Schizosaccharomyces pombe: one gene and its partners. Changing the gene in region 2 together with the main gene of any one other region gives a genetic interaction. Each region holds a gene or a part of one and is shown on either strand. Other genes may lie near its edges.

What was found.
Region 1: mutations in eta2 (region 2) and rrp14 together harm fitness more than expected from each alone (negative genetic interaction), as found in Schizosaccharomyces pombe (one large-scale study listed by BioGRID).
Region 3: mutations in eta2 (region 2) and thi5 together harm fitness less than expected from each alone (positive genetic interaction), as found in Schizosaccharomyces pombe (one large-scale study listed by BioGRID).

Annotation. Positions count from the first base shown.
Region 1 is NC_003424.3:3,656,696-3,661,696, forward strand, and holds rrp14 (ribosome biogenesis protein Rrp14-N), read right to left. Parts: upstream 2,370-5,001; 5' UTR 2,327-2,369; coding exon 2,312-2,326; intron 2,267-2,311; coding exon 2,183-2,266; intron 2,138-2,182; coding exon 1,772-2,137; 3' UTR 1,116-1,771; downstream 1-1,115. Other genes in the region: protein mug129, read right to left, coding at 1-662; iron-sensor Fra2, read left to right, coding at 2,437-2,496, 2,576-2,725, 2,832-2,876; ermes regulator Emr1, read left to right, coding at 3,735-3,743, 3,796-3,861, 3,912-4,022; mrs3 (mitochondrial iron ion transporter), read right to left, coding at 4,793-5,001.
Region 2 is NC_003424.3:2,999,385-3,006,042, forward strand, and holds eta2 (RNA polymerase I termination factor, Myb family Eta2), read left to right. Parts: upstream 1-2,672; coding exon 2,673-4,382; 3' UTR 4,383-5,532; downstream 5,533-6,658. Other genes in the region: hem4 (uroporphyrinogen-III synthase Ups), read left to right, coding at 1-459; MAP kinase Spk1, read right to left, coding at 466-1,584.
Region 3 is NC_003423.3:3,693,849-3,699,984, forward strand, and holds thi5 (DNA-binding transcription factor Thi5), read right to left. Parts: upstream 3,858-6,136; 5' UTR 3,847-3,857; coding exon 1,273-3,846; 3' UTR 1,116-1,272; downstream 1-1,115. Other genes in the region: abz1 (para-aminobenzoate synthase), read left to right, coding at 1-871; SPOM_SPBP8B7.31 (acid phosphatase), read left to right, coding at 4,485-4,566, 4,625-4,876, 4,952-5,071, 5,125-5,189; G1 cyclin Puc1, read right to left, coding at 5,725-6,136. UniProt on the Schizosaccharomyces pombe protein: Transcription factor that activates the nmt1 promoter. Regulation of thiamine repressible genes. Negatively regulates conjugation during meiosis, by inducing negative regulators which delay conjugation. Involved in thi1 regulation.

The DNA of each region.
Region 1 (5,001 bases), 660 kb from region 2:
GTCGTAATTTCAGAGGCTTTTCGTAATTGAGGATTGGCGACACTGTCAACTGGCTGCTGATTAGGTGAAGGAGAAACCGTAGCAGCTTTTTGAAAATATGTCGAAGTGAATAAAGACCAAGCATAGTGAAAGGACTCCTTATTATTCATTGGTAAAAAATGGAAAGCGGGATGCCCAAGTTTTGATAAAGCTGCCCTTTTTCGAAAAGCTAGTTGAGCCTCCGTACACGTACCATCATCTTCTATATTTGCCATATTGTCACTAAGCCTTTGCCAAAACAGTTCTGATGGATGGGTGTATTTGTACAAGTAAGAACCAATGGTAAATGTCACTATGGTCTGTGCTTCCTCCGTCTTCGACATGGATCGACCATCACCATAGTATACATCATGAAATAAATCATTGTAGGAGTTAATAAAATACGTTAAAGCTTCTCGACGATCTTTTGACATATTCTGTCTAACTGAAAGTTGCTGTACAAACTGTCGCAAAGAATCTATTGTCCACTCTATGCATAAGCTAGATCTTGATTTTTCACTTGCTAGCTCGTTCAATGGTGAAACAACGCTTAAATGCGCATGTCCTACATTAGGAGGTTTCTTCTTATGCTCATCCTTATCTTCTTCGGGGCTCTTGCAGCAAGTTAGGATTCTCCATAGCATCACAAGTTTGATTATTTGGACAGATAAGTTTAAAATTGGAAAACAAAACGACCGCGCGAGATATAAAAAATCAACAATAAAAAAAAGATTAAAAAAATAAAAAACAAAAACAGAACTATCTAATACTCAGAGGTTGCCGTAGTAAGGGTTTTATTGATGATGACAAACGACGGGTTATGTTAGCAAGGTGAGCAGTATTGACAATTAAAATCAATTAATAATTAATAGCTTGCCTAATGAAAAACATTAAAAGAATAAACAGCGGAAAGGAAAGAGATATAATGCGATATTGAAATGATAGACGGTGCATGCAGTCGTAGTAAACTGAGGATGCACTACTGATGAGTCAAGTCAAATGATACTAGTAGTATATATAAACTCATACACACTAAAATACTATAGTAAGTACATTGAGTATGACTACAGAGCATCTATTGAAGCACTAATGATAATACTAGAAACAAATTGTCTGCTCAATTCATTTTGCTTGTATCTTCTTATACTAAAACAAAAACTTTCATATACAAACAAAAAACCATGGGACGTCTCAAGGCGTTGCTCTTGTAAACTCTAAGAATACATTTGACGATCCACTTCATCAAACGTTACAAGATTTACTAAATAAGCAATCCAACTTTTCATATGTTAAACTGCTTAGTGAAGGAAAAATAAACAGCAGAAGCGAAATAAAATCTGAAACATACATTTACACTTATAAAGATAAGTAGAAGGCTATAATATTACGCGTTTGTCCTTTAAAATCATTTTTGCAGGAAATCATCAATGCGTGCATTGGAAACCTGTGAGGTATGCTGCCTTGATGCCTCAAAACTAACGTTAACAATGGTAGGACGATACAAAAAATAAGACCAAAGAATATTTAAATAAGAATTATACTAAATCGAACTGCAATAAAATAAAAGCCCGCTCCCAACCGTATCCGTCCATCCTTGAATTTTTTAACCAACTTGCGAAAGACAAAAGAAATAATTTTCTCAAAAAAATAGTACTTTTTTAATCCTCTATTATCCAGAACCTTTGTATTAACGTTTTAGTTTTTTGTCAGGGTTTGCCTCTTTTGATGAATTTACTCTTTAAGGCAACAAAGCTTAGAAACCAGCACGAGGAGATGCCTTGTGTTTCTTCTTTTGAACCTTGCTTTTTCCTGATCCCTTTTGAGAATCCTTTTCATTCTCGACAGGACGCTTATTTTGTCGTTTTTGATTCAAGTCACCGGCTTTCCTCTTCTCACGCAAATCCTGAATCTTTGATGCTAGTTTACCTCTGATCTGTGACATGCTTTCAGCATGACGATCTGAAACATCTGTATCATCACTCATAGTCGAAGACTGTTCCCACTTTGAAGATTTTTGACTATCATCGTCCGCATCGTTAACAAGACCATCCAAGCTAAATTTCATTTTTCGGCGTTCTTTCTTCTCCTCTAGCGTAGATTTTTTCTGTTTCCATTGATTCTAAATTGAACAGTTAAACATAATTATTCCAAATATCTCACATACCGCTGTATGCTCGCGATAGTAGAGCTTTGCAGGGATATAACTTAAAAGCTCTTCGAACCCGTCATTCCAAGCATTAATCCTTTCCTAATATACTCAATTAATATATAATACTTAATGTCTATGTCTTACTTCGACTTCTGTCATCTTTTTAAGGGTTTTAGAGATTTTGACAGGAGAACACCTAGTTGGTTGAAAGCGAATACACATCTTGAAAAGAACCATAACATAACTTCAATCGACAACGTTTATAAAACATGGTAAATGCACAACAACTTGAGCTTTTGATACAAAATACATTAGAACCTACCCACATTGTACGTTGAGCAAAATTTTTATTTTTATTTTTTGGTTTCACATTACTTTAAGCAAACCATTTTACTGATACTTATATAGGAGATCCAAGATATGTCTGGAGGATGTGGCCAGAACTTCGAAGTAATCATTGTTTCCCCTCTGTTTGAAGGGAAAAGCACGCTAGCTCGTCACCGTCTTGTGAATCACAAACTTCAAGAGGTGATCAAGGATATCCATGCCTTTACTCAGGTTCGTACTCTAAGTTTCAGGCATATAAGATAGAAAAAAGAAGAAGGAATCTGAAAAAAAAAAATGCTTTCAACTATTCTTAATCAGTTACTAACTTTAAATGCAGAAATGTTATAGTCCGGCACAATGGGAAGCTCTTCAAGCAAAATAATACCACATATTCTAATGCTTTCTCTTTTACTTCCTTTCTATTTTCGTGACAGCTCTTCAAAGCAATTGGCATACTTTTAATGTACAAATTACTTTCTTTAAAATAGTTGTAGCACCCCTTATTCCCTTACAGAAGGTACATACTAATACCTTCTTTTTTTTTTTTTTTTTTTGAAGCATGTCAAATTGCCCCAGAGAAAAGATATGGTTTATTATAACCATATATACCTTTTGCTTTAAAGTTCCTAATACATAGGATGTTTTGGCAAATTTTTAGAGAGCACTACATAAATTGTATAAGATGCTGCTAAGATTTTTGACTGTTCGATCTCCTTTGTTTATACGAGTAAGGGGATCTATCAAGGATTTATTATAAATAATATGCATACCTAGCCCTTGTCACCAAATTGTGTTTTCTTAACCTAAAAGTTTTGATAATTTTATCTCATACTAATGTTTCAATACTTCTTTCACATAATTCCATCACTCGAAAGGTAATTGCTCTTCTTGTTAAACTACGATTACTTCAAAAATCAACTCGAAACTGTAAATTTGAAGAATCAAAGAGTTGTTCTATACTAAGCAAATAATAATAACACTCTAACTTGAGTATTTCTTTGCATAAACGACTGTGATAATATCAATGACAAACTCATTAACAAGAAAATGAAGACTGTATAAATGATTTTTTTAATACATAATATAATGAACAACTTTTCAAGACTATTCTAAACTTTCGTACCATAAATATGATCGATATCTCTTCCAATACTACATCCGTTTCTCTTTTATTCCATTACATATTGCATACTTCATAATATTTCCAAATTGGGATTTTCTCTTGTCCATATAAAACAAAATGCTGCCAGTATGCAAAATTTTATCATAGTCATAATGATTTTGTTTTACTAACGTTATAGAATCTTAGACGAATATTTGCATCCTTTCGCACGGAGGAAGAAGAACGCTCTTATTCTCGTAAAGCAGTATGTCAACAAAGTATCGTATTCATTAATTATACACTAACAAACTAAAGTTTTTTCATCTTATCGGGTATATCACATGTAGCGTCCTCTTTAGCTGGCTGGTGCGAAAAAAGGTGATTTCCTCACCTGTAGTGTCTTCTCCTATACATGCGTTATCGTAATCTGTATTTAATACACATGAAAGTTTATGATTTACAAATTTCTTGAGCTGTATCTCACGGATATAGTATGTCTTATTTTGAATGCCGGCTTCTTCAATCCGTATGCTTTCGACAGTGTCAAGTTGAGTTTGCGCAAATTCGTGTCAGTAGCATAATTGCTGCCAATTAGCTATACTATTAAAAAGCCCGTGCAAATACCACCTCATTTTGGCGTGTATAATAATTACGAAACAGCTAATATACCTACACGGATGTGACATTGACAAAGACATATTACCATTCGTATCCAGTTTCCAATTTCAATAATACTTTTCTTTATTTACAAGATTTCACTTTACCACACATGCTAGCTATGAAATTATATTGAAGATAAAGCAAAACATAATACTTTAATATGTTTTCCTATCGCACGCTTGATGAATATACTGGAAATGCCATTTTTTTTTAATTCAATCAGGTGCTGAAAACATAGTAAATTCCATCTTCACAGAAAATGATTAGATGAAGTATATACAAACAAACCCTCCCCGACTAAAGACATTGTCCGTCTAAAAAACATGGCAAAAATTAAGTAAAAACAGAACTTGCCTCAAAAGACACATCATTATAAAATAAGACAGAAAGGAAAAAAATTGCGTTAAAAGGGAATATTTTATATTTTACAAAGATCAGCCAAAGAACCAGAAAATGCCTTTAGTAAATCGTCTCGATAGTCATAAGAAACCCCAGAATATCTAAACGGATGAAATAAAGAAAACACACACATAAACTTAGGCTTGAGAAGTTTTGGAAACACGAATCAAAATTTCTTTACCTGCTTCGTAAGCAGCCCAAGAAACCGCCGTAGCCGGCATTGCTACTACCATACGAGGCCTGATTCCCTTAAAGAAAGACGGTATTCCACCATAATTATAAATAAAACGTACCACGTCCAAGGAACCCTTACATTTTCGAACTTCAGGAATTGACGACGAACCAC
Region 2 (6,658 bases):
AGTATTCGACGTCTCGGTTTTCAGCAAACACATGGAAAGGACTGTGGAAGGGGTGAGGTTTTGGCAGATTTAATTGAAGAGTGGTATACTACGACTAAACAACATAAGCCCTTACTTTTCCTTGTAGGGGAAAAGCATAGGGATATAATTCAAAGAAAACTGGGGGACGACAGAGTAGATTCATTAATCGTATATGCTACGCAAGAATTAGAAAATACAGAAACCCAAATAAAGGATACGATTAGAAAACATCCTACAATTGATTGGATTGTCGCATTCAGTCCGACATCCATTTGCTCTTTATTAAACACATTTGAATTAAAGATCGCAACCATTGGACCTACTACTGGAGATTATCTAAAGAAGCTGGGAACTCAACCGAACGTTGTATCTCCAGCACCTAATCCAGAGAGCTTGGCATCCAGCATAGTTGCCTTTGATGAGGAGAATTCTAGTTGAAGCTTTTTATCTGAAATTTACTTCACGAAATATTAAGGCCTTCAATACCGGTATTTCGAGATCTTCTTTGTTACAGTATAAATCGACGAGGTTGGGAGGCATGGGGGATGCTGTAGGCTCATCACTGGCATCATGATAAGCAGCTACATACGGGTGCTTTAGAGCCTCTTCTGCAGTTATACGCTTATCAGGATTAAATGTCAGTAATTTTTCTAAAAGGTCAATAGCATCTGGTGATGCCTGAGGAAAGAGTGCTTTGAATGATACTTTAGGAGTAAATGGAAGACTTTTAATATATTTCCTCGCACGTGCAGATTTAATTCTTGAAAAATCGTCCATAGTAGGCGTTCCTAGAATGTTAAGGATTAAAGTAATTTGACTATGATAGTCCTTTCCTGGGAACAATGGTCGAGCAGAAAGCATCTCAGCAAGTATACAACCAGTACTCCATAAATCAATAGCTTTGCTGTATTCTCGGAAACTCAGCATAATTTCCGGTGCTCGATACCAACGAGTTGCGACATACTCAGTCATAAAGCCAGGATTTCCGCCTTGAGCTGTGGTGGAACGTGCCAAACCGAAATCGGCAACTTTGAGATCACAATTGGCATTTAGTAGTAAGTTTGATGGCTTCAGGTCTCTATGAACAACTCCAGCACTATGCATGGCTTTCAGAGCGCGCAAAATTTGATACGTAAAGTATTGACAATGATCATCGCTTAAGGGCTGCGAACGTATAACACGGTACAAATCCGTTTCCATAAGCTCTTGTACAATATAAACATCTTCCAATTCCTGGTAGCTCGGTGGTGGAAGGATGTCTAGAATTGAAATTATATTTTCATGACGAAAATGTCTGAGTAACTTGATTTCCCTTAAAGTTCTTAGACAAAACACAGGATGATTGAAAGGATGTATTTTTTTAACAGCCACCTTTAGGCCGCTGGGTTTGTGAAGCGCGGCACATACAACTCCATAAGCACCTTGACCGATGAGATTGATCATTTCGTATTCCTCTGGTAGCTCAAAGTTTAGATCATGCGTGTGTGGGCTTCGACTTGTAGCTACTGACTCCTTGTTGGAATTCCCATCCGCAATAGTAGGCGTGGAAGTAGCGCTCGCCATTAGACTACAAATTGAAAAACTTGAAAGAAATGAAGCGATATGAATAGATAAATAGAATTAAAAAGAATTACAACGTTCTTTGTAATAAATTATGTTATGCAATCCTTTGTGCTTTAAATCCGACAATATTGAAAAAAGTCGGTTTGCCAGCCAAAGACAGAAATAGACAAGGATGTATTAGAAATCCCTTTATCAAATTAGTTTAGTATTAAATTAAATAATGCGAAAGAAGGACGTTCGGCAGCACTTCAAAAACAGGCGCTAGCAACAATAATACAAATATTAGGTTGCAAGCTTATAAAATATAGGAATAACAAAAGAAATAGAAAATATACAAAAATCGTAAAAGGGAAGAATTTCAAAAAACCAGACAAATGTATCTTCGCAATTGAGATTAAAGGCCCACAATGGTTATTCAATAAAAAAATGATGCTTCAAATATTGCCAAGCAAAGATGCCTTGAGGGAATTGCAAAAGCGTCCTTCAAAACCGTCTCTAGCAATTTCTCAATTGCCCTTCCAAAACTGTTGAAAAGCTGTTGGTAATTGTTAAGTAGTGTGGTTGGACTAGTCAACATTTATAACTTACAATAACAAAGAAAGTTTCTTTGTTAATGTATTGCCCCAGAAACTTCATAGATACGAATCTTTAGACAGAATAAAGAAACGATGAGTGACATGAAATCAAAAAAGTAACACACATTTTAAGTGCGCGACGCGTCGCGCATATTCTTTGTTTACACTAACTTACAAACCTTCCATCTACCACGACAGAAATTAAAGGCAAAGAAATGCAATATTTTAAGACTATCTAAATCGAAATAATTAATTTACAAGGTAAGCAGAAACAATTGGTTATGCAAGGATATTTGAATGGGTTCTTGAAGAGGTTGAACAGAAACCGTATGATGGTTGTTTAATTTTATGTTCTCGTAATAATAATCTTATGAAAGTTTAAAAAGCATGAAAAAAAATAGATAAATCCGTTGAAACTCTCAAACAAAAATAGTTAAACATTCATAAATTTCCCTTGGCGTCCTTACTTCATCATGAATTGGCTAACCCGTTATTAGAAGGCATTGTAAATTAATGATGTTAGCTATCGACATGACAATAAATGAAAACCAGGGAACACGCTCAAATTTGGAAAGTCCTACACTTTCATGTAGCAGTAAGGGTGCAATGCAAGAAAGAGACGTTATGTTTACAGATCACAATACCTTCAATATCACTAATAATAAATCTCGGCCTGGAAGTTTAATGAAATCTATGAAAAGAAAAGATGTTTACGAATTTGATGAAGATAATGAGTTTGAGTTTGAAATGGGGTCACTTATACATAAGCCTTCACGTGCTCACTCCTTAGGAGGAACTAGTGAGCCTGTGTCAGATGACCATAAAGATTGTATGGAAGCTACACGACAGTTATTGGAAAATAGTCCACTTTCCTCTGTCGTTGTCAAAACATGTAGTGATCATGCATCAAAGCGTAAAATTGCGCGATCCTCTTCTGACGATTCTGAAAGCAAAGTTGAAAGCACAAACTCTTTCAATGCAAAGAAAAGAAAGGATGCATGGACAGAGGAGCATGAAAAGTGGTTTCAAGCAAGGATTGATGAATTGTTAACGATTCGGTCTATATCACGGGAGCAAATGATCGAGATATTGGAAGACGAACATGCTGGGAGTCGACTTCAAGGGTTTTTAGAGTCAGTAGCATCTTTTCTGAATCGAAAAGAAAATAGTTTACTAAAGTACATGCGTGCTTTTTTTCAAGTCGCCGGTTACGAAAAGATAGACATTGGAAGCTTGGCTGCTGAAGAGGATTCGCAACTTAATTTTTCTCTAGAAGACGCACAAGTGATTCAAAAAGTAGTTTTGTCTTATTGTAATAATGAAGGCGTAGATTTACAAGAGTTTGGCTTCCGGATGAGTTCTTCAAGCTTAAGACATACAAATATCAACTTTCTATACAACGAACTACGCGAATTGCTGCCTACTTCTATTTCAAGAAAAGGAATTATTCGTTATTTGAAGGAAATCTACAAGCCGTTGGATCCGAAAGATAGGAATGCATGGGAGGAAAGTGAGCTAAAAAAGCTGTACACCCTAGTTGAACAAGAGGGAACGCGGTGGAACAGCATAGCGAACAAACTGGGAACGTCACCTGCCGCGTGCATGAGTCAATGGAGGTTTGTTGTAGGTACTAGTACTCAGGAAACAATTGATCGGCGCAAATTATGGACGAATGAAGAGGAAGCAAAGCTATTAGACTTGGTAAAGTCTTCTTACCGGTCGTCTTTTCACACAAAAAAAATGACAAGCCTTTTCACACACAATAATCACACTACTTCAAACATACAACGGGAAATACCGGCATCTGATTCCATTGCATGGCATAGCATATCGAAGAAGCTTGGGACTAAGTCGCCGGAAAGCTGTCGAAAACAGTACGAAAAAACAATCGCATCTTATTCTTCTAACCAACGTCAAGAGGAGGATCAAGGGAAGAAAAGGAAGAAGAGAAAAAAGAAGAAATCAAAGGGTAAACGCAAATTTTACGTCGCGGATAGTTTAAAACTACTAGAACATGTACAAAGGCAATGCGGAGAAGCAATCTCCATAAATGCCATTGATTGGAAAGGCATTGTCAAGCAAATGCCAAAATGGTCCGAGGAGGAATTGAGAGCGCAAGCCACAAATTTGGTAGCGAGTGTTCGCGGCTGGAAAAAGACACGTTTAAGTGAGAGTGTGAGAATCGCAATTACAGATTTGAAAAGTCTTCCTCCTGACGTATAATAACAAATATTGCAGACGAAACGTTAATAAGTGCGCAAGAAAAAATAGTCAAAAAATATCTTTTTTGCTGGTATGTCACGTTTGCCCAGGTCATATTGAATGTTTTTCTTGGCTGTCTCAATTTTCCCACACAATATAATGATATTTCTCATCTCTTTTTGCGACAGGGGCGAAAATAGTTGGACTGCACTTCAAGAGCAACCGAACCCGTCTACCTGCAAAACGTACCTACACAAGAATTCTGCAGCATTAAAGTTTATATGGCAGAGCAATGGAGAAGAAGAGTGAGTCACCTGGTTCCTCTCCACATACTGGATACTGTTGATTTAGGTTCATTTGCGAACCCATCAATCATTTTACTTCTCGACATACTGTTGCCAATCTAAATTACTTTCTTTTCATACTTGTTCCAATTGCTGGTTACCTGATATCCTCTCTCGTCTACCTTAATCCGATTAAGTGCGATGTATTTGCAACATGCACGTGTGCATTGTAACCAGCCTCATTCCGAGCCTTTCCGCTTATTTATTTATTAAATTTTTAATGTATATTCGTTATTTAATTAATATCTAAGCATGGATCGTATGGTTACTAACTTATTTCTTACTTCATCCCTGATAATGACGGATAATAGATGCAAAAATGAATGGTTTGGTGGTGGCCAACGAAACAATCGACACTGCTACGGCTCTACTAAAACAAGTCACGTTCAACGGTTCATCGGCTAATATTAACTCAAAAAAAAAAAAGAATAAAATAAGTATAGTTCGGGGTCCGAGATTTCTTTGATAGTCCCTTGGACATTCTATTTTAGCATTTCAACTAACAACTGAAAGGGCCGGAAAATCTTTGAAATTTTTAAATCTGTTTAACTCATCCCAAAGTAATTGAGTGTCGGAAAAGAAATGGCCCGAACGGTTTTATGAACCGGTCCCTACTAAAGAATAACAAAATTCAAATATTGGAAAGGCAGGTTTTGGTTTTGAACGCAGTTGTTGGATTGAAAATATATTCCATTGTACTTTGTACTTGATAATCAAAGTAATCTTGTTGTTGATCATTAAAGGCGTATCAACAGTGTTGGGGAAAAAGTTTACCTTGAATCTTATCTAGCAGCGGAAACTAAATAATTATATTTATTAAATTGTTAGACCAGCCTAAAACTATCGGGATTAGCGTTGGGTAAGGGATTTACGGAATATTTACCGTATTAGGTTTTTTTTGAGTTTTAAAAATTTAACTCGCTAACATAACCGAAGCCTCGCACATATAAACTATCTTTCAACCTACTTGACTCAACTTTTCCTTCACCAACCGCAGTGTTGCATTAAGCAGCAAAACGTTGTCACCTTCGAATAGCGTCTTTTTGACGAATAAAAAGGTTGGACAACAAAATTAAATTAAGCAAATTTGTGTATAAACTAACAGCAAGTGAAGTTGTACCGGTTGTATGATTGAAGCATTGTAAACCAAAGAACAGCTACTTTGCCTTGTCGTACATTAGCTTTTTCCTTTGCAAAGAACTTTTAGGGACCTTTTTTTACCACAACTAGAGAACCGGTGTAGAAAGGTGTTCTATTTTAGTGAACGGATTCGTTTAATTTTTTCATTGAGAAAAAAATTTGATCTATCTTGATTTTTTCGACTGTTTCCATTTTTAACTATTTGTGACGTTTCTTATTGCCAAATTTCAACCTTGAGCATTGTTAAAAAAGCTGAATTTAAATTTCTTTGCTTTTAACATACAAGTGAGCTATTGGGTTTGTAAAGATTTAATACTTGATTGGAAGTTTTTTTGGTCAAGTCTGTTTTTTTTGGGTGTTTTTTTGACGATCAGTTGAAACCGCGAATAATAATATTTATTATAACTCCCTAAAAAAAGAAAGAAAATCATTTATTAAATAATTTTTACTTTCCTTCATTGTTTCTGAATTTTGCTTCTCCCTGCCGTTTAATTGTTTCATTTTCTTTTAGAAAGTACTAAAAGGTAATCAAATCGGCTAGTCTTGCAACTGAATTTTCTTTGAAGATAATATCTAGATTTAATTTTTCCCTGCTTGAATTTCCTAAGATCTTGCGTTCGTTCGGACTGAATTGCATAATTTATTGAAGGTCTCCATTCCTGTATACTTACTCGACTACCCATTTATCGGTCAAGCTGTATATATACACGCACAGTCAACTTATCTTCTACTTATATTTATAAAACTATTTATTTTATTTCTCTTTAATCCGAGCTTCGTTAGTTGATTCTTTTGATCTTTGCATTGGTAACT
Region 3 (6,136 bases), on a different chromosome or scaffold from region 2:
CGATGGGAAGCAAAATTTTGGCCTGGTTCAAAGTTTTCCAAAAAAGGAGGTATACTGTGAATCTGTGAAAGCCTGCCAAGAACATCTCTTGGCCGGTGATTCTTATGAAATGTGCTTAACGGATACGACATTTGTTTCGGCACCTCCAGAGCTTTCTGATTTTGAGATGTATATGCGCGCAAGGTCTTTAAATCCTGCTACGTTTGCAGGTTTTGTAAGGTTGAACCATTTTACTCTACTCTGTTGTTCTCCAGAAAGATTCTTACAATTTCGAGACGATCGTTGCCTATTTTCACCCATAAAAGGAACTTTAAAAAGAGAGGGACACATGTCTTTGGAGGAAGCAAGAAAGAAGCTATTAAATGAAAAAGATATGGGGGAATTGAACATGATTATAGATCTCATTCGTAATGACTTGCATCAGTTGGCAAAAAAAAATAGTGTTCATGTACCTGAACTATACTCTGTTGAAGAACACTCAAATGTATACTCACTTTTATCAAATATATATGGAAGAATTGAGTCCCCAATAACTGCATGGGATGTTTTGTCAAAAAGTTTTCCTCCCGGTTCAATGACTGGGGCTCCTAAGTTAAGAAGCGTGAGGATGCTTGAACCTTTGGAGCAACATGGTCGAGGAATTTATTCTGGCACGCTTGGTTATTGGGATGTAACAGGTTCTGCTGAGTTCAACGTTATTATCCGATCAGCATTTAAGTACAAAGCTGATGATTATTGGAGAATAGGTGCTGGAGGTGCTGTTACTATTCTTAGTTCGCCTGAAGGGGAATATGAGGAAATGGTTTTAAAAGCTAACAGTATCTTACCAGCTTTTGTGAATCTTAAAAATAAAAAAAGATCATGTAAATGATTATTGTTGGATGCTGTTGTTTATTTTGTTCATTTTCAATCGTTAATACTAATATAAAAAAAAAATTGACACTTCCTTCAAGAATCGTATAGATATCGGTTATAACAAAACTTTTATTACGGCAAAATTGATGTTACTGATAGTTTCATGAAGCGTTTTAATGACAGTTTATTCATTTTTTTTAAAAACATTATAAAATTACAAAATCAGCAGTATTGCTACTTCAAGACTATGTTAAAGAAATACGGAACAGTCAATATAGCTAGCGGTCCAAATATTATTATAGACTAAAAAGTTTTTATTTAGAGTTAGCATTATTAATGATAATGAAGTATAAGTATAACAATATGTAACAAAACGAAAACGTTCAAAATAAAACTTATGTTTAAACAATAAGATCATTATGGTCCTAAACGATTCAATTGCATATCCATATTTAGCAATGCTTCGGACCACGGAAGGAATGGAGGCTCCTTAGGATTCGAAGAAAAATCGAGTGATTCATTGACCAAAAAACTTTGAGATGGATGAGAAGGTTTGAACGAGTTAGATGAATTGTTCGACTCAGGATTACCCAAAGCATGACCTAAAGGAATGTTAGACGAGCTTAATTCTGTAACCCAATTTTGCCAAGCCATATATCCACTCTGGCTGTTTTCTTTGTTGACTGATTCAAAAGAAGCGGATAATGGCTCGTTTATAGGCATTTCAGTAGCTGAGTTTATATCAAATATTTCGATTGCACTCTTAAGCTTTTCAAGTCGAACCTTTGAATCGATAGTACGTGATCCCATATCTTCCAGTAAATAAATACTTTCAAGTAATGGGTTTTCTGCACCAAGGTGCATAACTGAGAATAAAAATAACACAATTGCCGAACAGTATAAAATTTCAAACTCCAAATAAAAACACTTGTCCATCTGACCAGCAGATAACAATTTCGATGATAACTGAACAATTGCCTTTGCAGACTCATAGCAGGTTTCCAAATTGGAAAACACATCTTCCAAGCTTGGTTTATTGTTAAGGCCTTTCGTAAATGAAGAAGGTTTAACAGAATACCAATTATTTAAATAGAAAAACATAATGGGACAACTTACCTTGACAATTAGGTAGTGATAAAATAAATGTAAGCTAACGTTGGAATGAAAAAGGAGATCTGAAGTGTCATTCGTTCCATTAAGCTGTTGATGGGTTAAGTTTAACTTCCAATTACGAGCTTGGGAGTAGATTCTTTCAACTTTTAATAGTAATTTAGGAAAATTTGAGACATCCATCAAATAATCAGAACTTGATTCATACAGTGAATTTAGAGACCGTACGGAGATCTCAGCGTATTTTATTATAGCGACAAAATGAAAAACGGATGAAGGTAAATGTCGAGCCTCCAGCTCCGGGACAACGGTAGGAAGTTTTAAAGAATTCAGACCATTTGGAAATAAATTTATGATAGGAGTAATTCCAGACTGTATGTACAAAAAACTGGCTAAAACACGTAAGGACCAGCATATGCGAATACTAGTCTCCTCAGTTGAAACTTCATTTAATGTGCTGTTATCAGTTGAACCATGCTCCAAACCAAGGGTATGCGCGGAATGTATTGCAAAACCTAAATAAGAATATGCACATTTAAAATTTCCAGTTAAAAAATGATATAGTGAAAGTAAAAAGACAGCTTGAATAGAAGAAAGGGTACAGCGATTTAATAAAGAGCTAATTAATTGCTCTGAAATCTGTATCATTGAATCAATATGACTAAGCTGAACTTCCTTGGGCAATACATTAATGTTGTTATTTGAGAAGTGACCAAGCACAACAATTAAAAGAGCAACAGCAAGAAATCCTGTATCCAACGTATCTGAGTTAACTAAACCATCTGCAAGGATTTGGTAACGGTTAGAAAAAACAGATGGAGGATAAAAGTAAAAAAAACTTTGATACCGGAGGAAAAACTCATTTGCATAACGTTCTGCGACAGAAACCGGTGGTAACAAATTATGTGCTATTTTCTTTAGAGCTTTTAATGAAAAAGATGAGTGATTGGAGGTCAAATTTATAATTGAATATTCATGAGTTCCTTGTGAAGAAGCTGAACCTACAGATACTGAAGTAGGGGTCGATTGAAGTGTGTTTAGTTCTAAAGGCAATAAAGAGGAAGAGAGATCCTCCGGAATTTTACTTTGATAGTCAATGAGCAGTGATTCTGGGGTATTGCTTGAATTTAACTGTAAGGATGCTAAAACAGAATTTAAAAAATAAGTGCTTGACGTCGGACTTAAATATATGGGTTCTCCTAGAGCATCTAAGAATGAACGTACAGGAAGTATGGGTTGGGAATTGATTATTAAATTATTGGCACTTCTAATAACCTTATCTTGGTTCACATGAATTGCATTAGCAGATATATTTTCAGTAAACTTGATGGAAGTATTAAGATCAGTGTTTTGAATAGATGAGAAATTTGAATCCGAAGAGGGGGGAGTAGATGAAGAAGGAAAAGAAACGTTTGCTGACTTGACAGCAGACGAATCGTCTTTATTGTTTGTAGCAGCAACCTTTAAAACAGATTGATCAATTGACCCGGGTATTAGCAAAGAACGAACGTCGCTTCCAGAAGCTAATGAAGATTCGACATGTTTGCATAGTTTGACTAAACTACGTGTGTCATGAGGAAGAGAAGGACACAGCAATTCCATCAGATATTCGAAGCATTTCTGCCTTTGACTCAGTTCCGCAATAAATTGTTTTGAGGGAGTACGCTCTTTTAAAGAATCAGCATACTTACATTGCGAAGGCGTAGCAATGCAAGCCTGACATGGTTCAGAACCACTGCATCGAATTTTCTTGGCCCGACAAGACAGACATGCCCGCCTTACTCTTCTTCTACTGTCCAAAGGAACACGCCTTCTTTGTTTATACTCTTCCTCTTTGGCTTCTAAAAACAAAGAACGACTAGAAAAGTCAGAGGGACACATAAACTTCGCATAATAACAATTGCTACATTTAAGATTTTCATATAGGTAAATCAATTTCGCTGTCGGTCACAGGTACCCGAAGGTGGTAAGTAGCAATGCTACTTCAATTTTAAATAGTATGCATCAGCAAAATTAAATTTGCTAGTAAGCTCTGTCAAGTCCCCAGGTTAATATAAATGTATTAAATGCAGTAAAAAAATTTATTGTTTAAATGAATATGTTAATGACAACGATTAATTGACTGTAATTTGGTAGTATACAGTTTTGATCAATTTTATAAAACATGGTATTTACACAGTGTTTTTTGGTATCAGTTTATTTGTTTATTGAGAATATCAAAGACAGTTAAATTAAATAATAATAATTCATAAAAGTTAATGAAATTCAAACATTTGTTTCCTAAGTTTTTTTCATTACTAATGCAAAAAAAGTTGAATATATATATTTTTCTTTAAAAAAAATTGGATTACATCAACGTACCAACTAAAATTGTGTCAATCTTATCGAACTAGCAAACTGGCAGTAAACTTCTTGAAAGCGTTACGGTCAATCTTTTGAACTTGAAATCACTCTTAAAAAGACTTTCATTCTTGTTGTTTACGAACCTAATAACCAATACCATAAAATATCAAGCAAATATGGTAAAAAATATCGAATTCCCAAAATGCGTTGTTTTTGACTTAGACTACACTCTGTGGCCTCTTTGGATAGATACCCATGGTATTAAATCTTTTACTTTGATCTACTTTATGTTTTATTTTCTAACAAAGTTTCACAGTCACTGCACCATTTAAGCCTTCCAAAAATGACCCAGGCGTTTTGATTGACAAATATGGCACAGAGATTTGTTTTTACTCAGATATAACTGGAATTTTACAAGAGCTAAGGAACCAAAAAGTTACTTTGTGCGTTGCTAGCCGTACTTGTGCTCCCAAGTATGCGAAACAAGCATTGAATTTGATGAAGGTACCAATAGATGGAAGTCTTAAGCCGGCTATCGAATTTTTCACTTATGTAAAAGCTTGGCCAGGTATGTCTTTTAATACATTTTTGTCAATACAGAAAATATCAATAATCATATTGCTAACTAGTTATTGTGAAATAGGTAGTAAAATGGATCACTTCAAAGAGATCCACAACGAATCTGGAATTGACTATCGAGAAATGGTGTTTTTTGATGATGAGTCTAGGAACAGAGAGGTTGAAAGACTTGGTGTTACATTCTGTTTAGTTCCTGATGGCCTTAATCGTGCGTCCTTTGAGCAAGGTATAAACAAGTGGAGAAAATTAAAAAAAACTCACTAAATATTCTTTCATTTCTAAAAAATCATATGCATGGTTAATTTTTCTTTTGAAAGAAAAGTTAATCAATTTTGCTTGCATCTTAAGAAAACAACTATCGTGCTTTAACTTATATTTAGAAGTCTCTATTCGAATTGAGATGTATTTTGTTTAATCACAGTATCATTGTTAAAATTGGGAAACACTGATACTACTTTTAATGGGTGAAGAATCAAATTTAGAAATTAAATCTATTAAAGACCTAAATTGCTTCAATCTGTAATATGGGGTTTCTTATGAACTTTCTCTTTTCTTTTTGCAAACTAAGTAAGTATCATATAAATAAATAACAAAAATATATACAAACGGTATAATGTCATATGAGCATAGTTGCAAACCGGTTTAGGAAAACAAAGAACATAACAGAGTAGTTTAATTGATTAATATAATGAATTTTATAAAAATTCTTAAAAAAAATTACATCACTATACACTTACTTTTCTCAAGTAAATATATAATTTTGAAATTATATCTCCATTACATGTTTGTCTAGAAGCATTGCAATATATATAAATCGAAGAAGAAGCAATGTTAAAGTTACAAAGTACGCTCAGTATCCTTTTCAGTCATGTTGCACCAGGCAGCCATTGCGCATTGTTCCGGATATTTCTTTGCTAAAATACTAGAAATACGGCCTAGTGAGGAAAACAGTAAATCAGTACATTCCTCATTAGCATACCTCTTTGACATGTTTTCCATATATGATGTTACGGTATCCAAGTCTTCAGGCCACAAAAAGTTATCATCTTTGCGATAGGATTCCATAGAAGGGTGTGTCAAAAGAAACGATCCGACATGTTCGTTTACGATGTTCATAACTGAACATGCGATTTTGGAAGCGGGAAATTTGAATAAATTAGGTACAAACATTGATGCATCAAGTACTAAGAAAAAAATCGGGTCTAAAACAGGAATATACGAAGCTGGTGTAGGGATTGAGATATCCCAA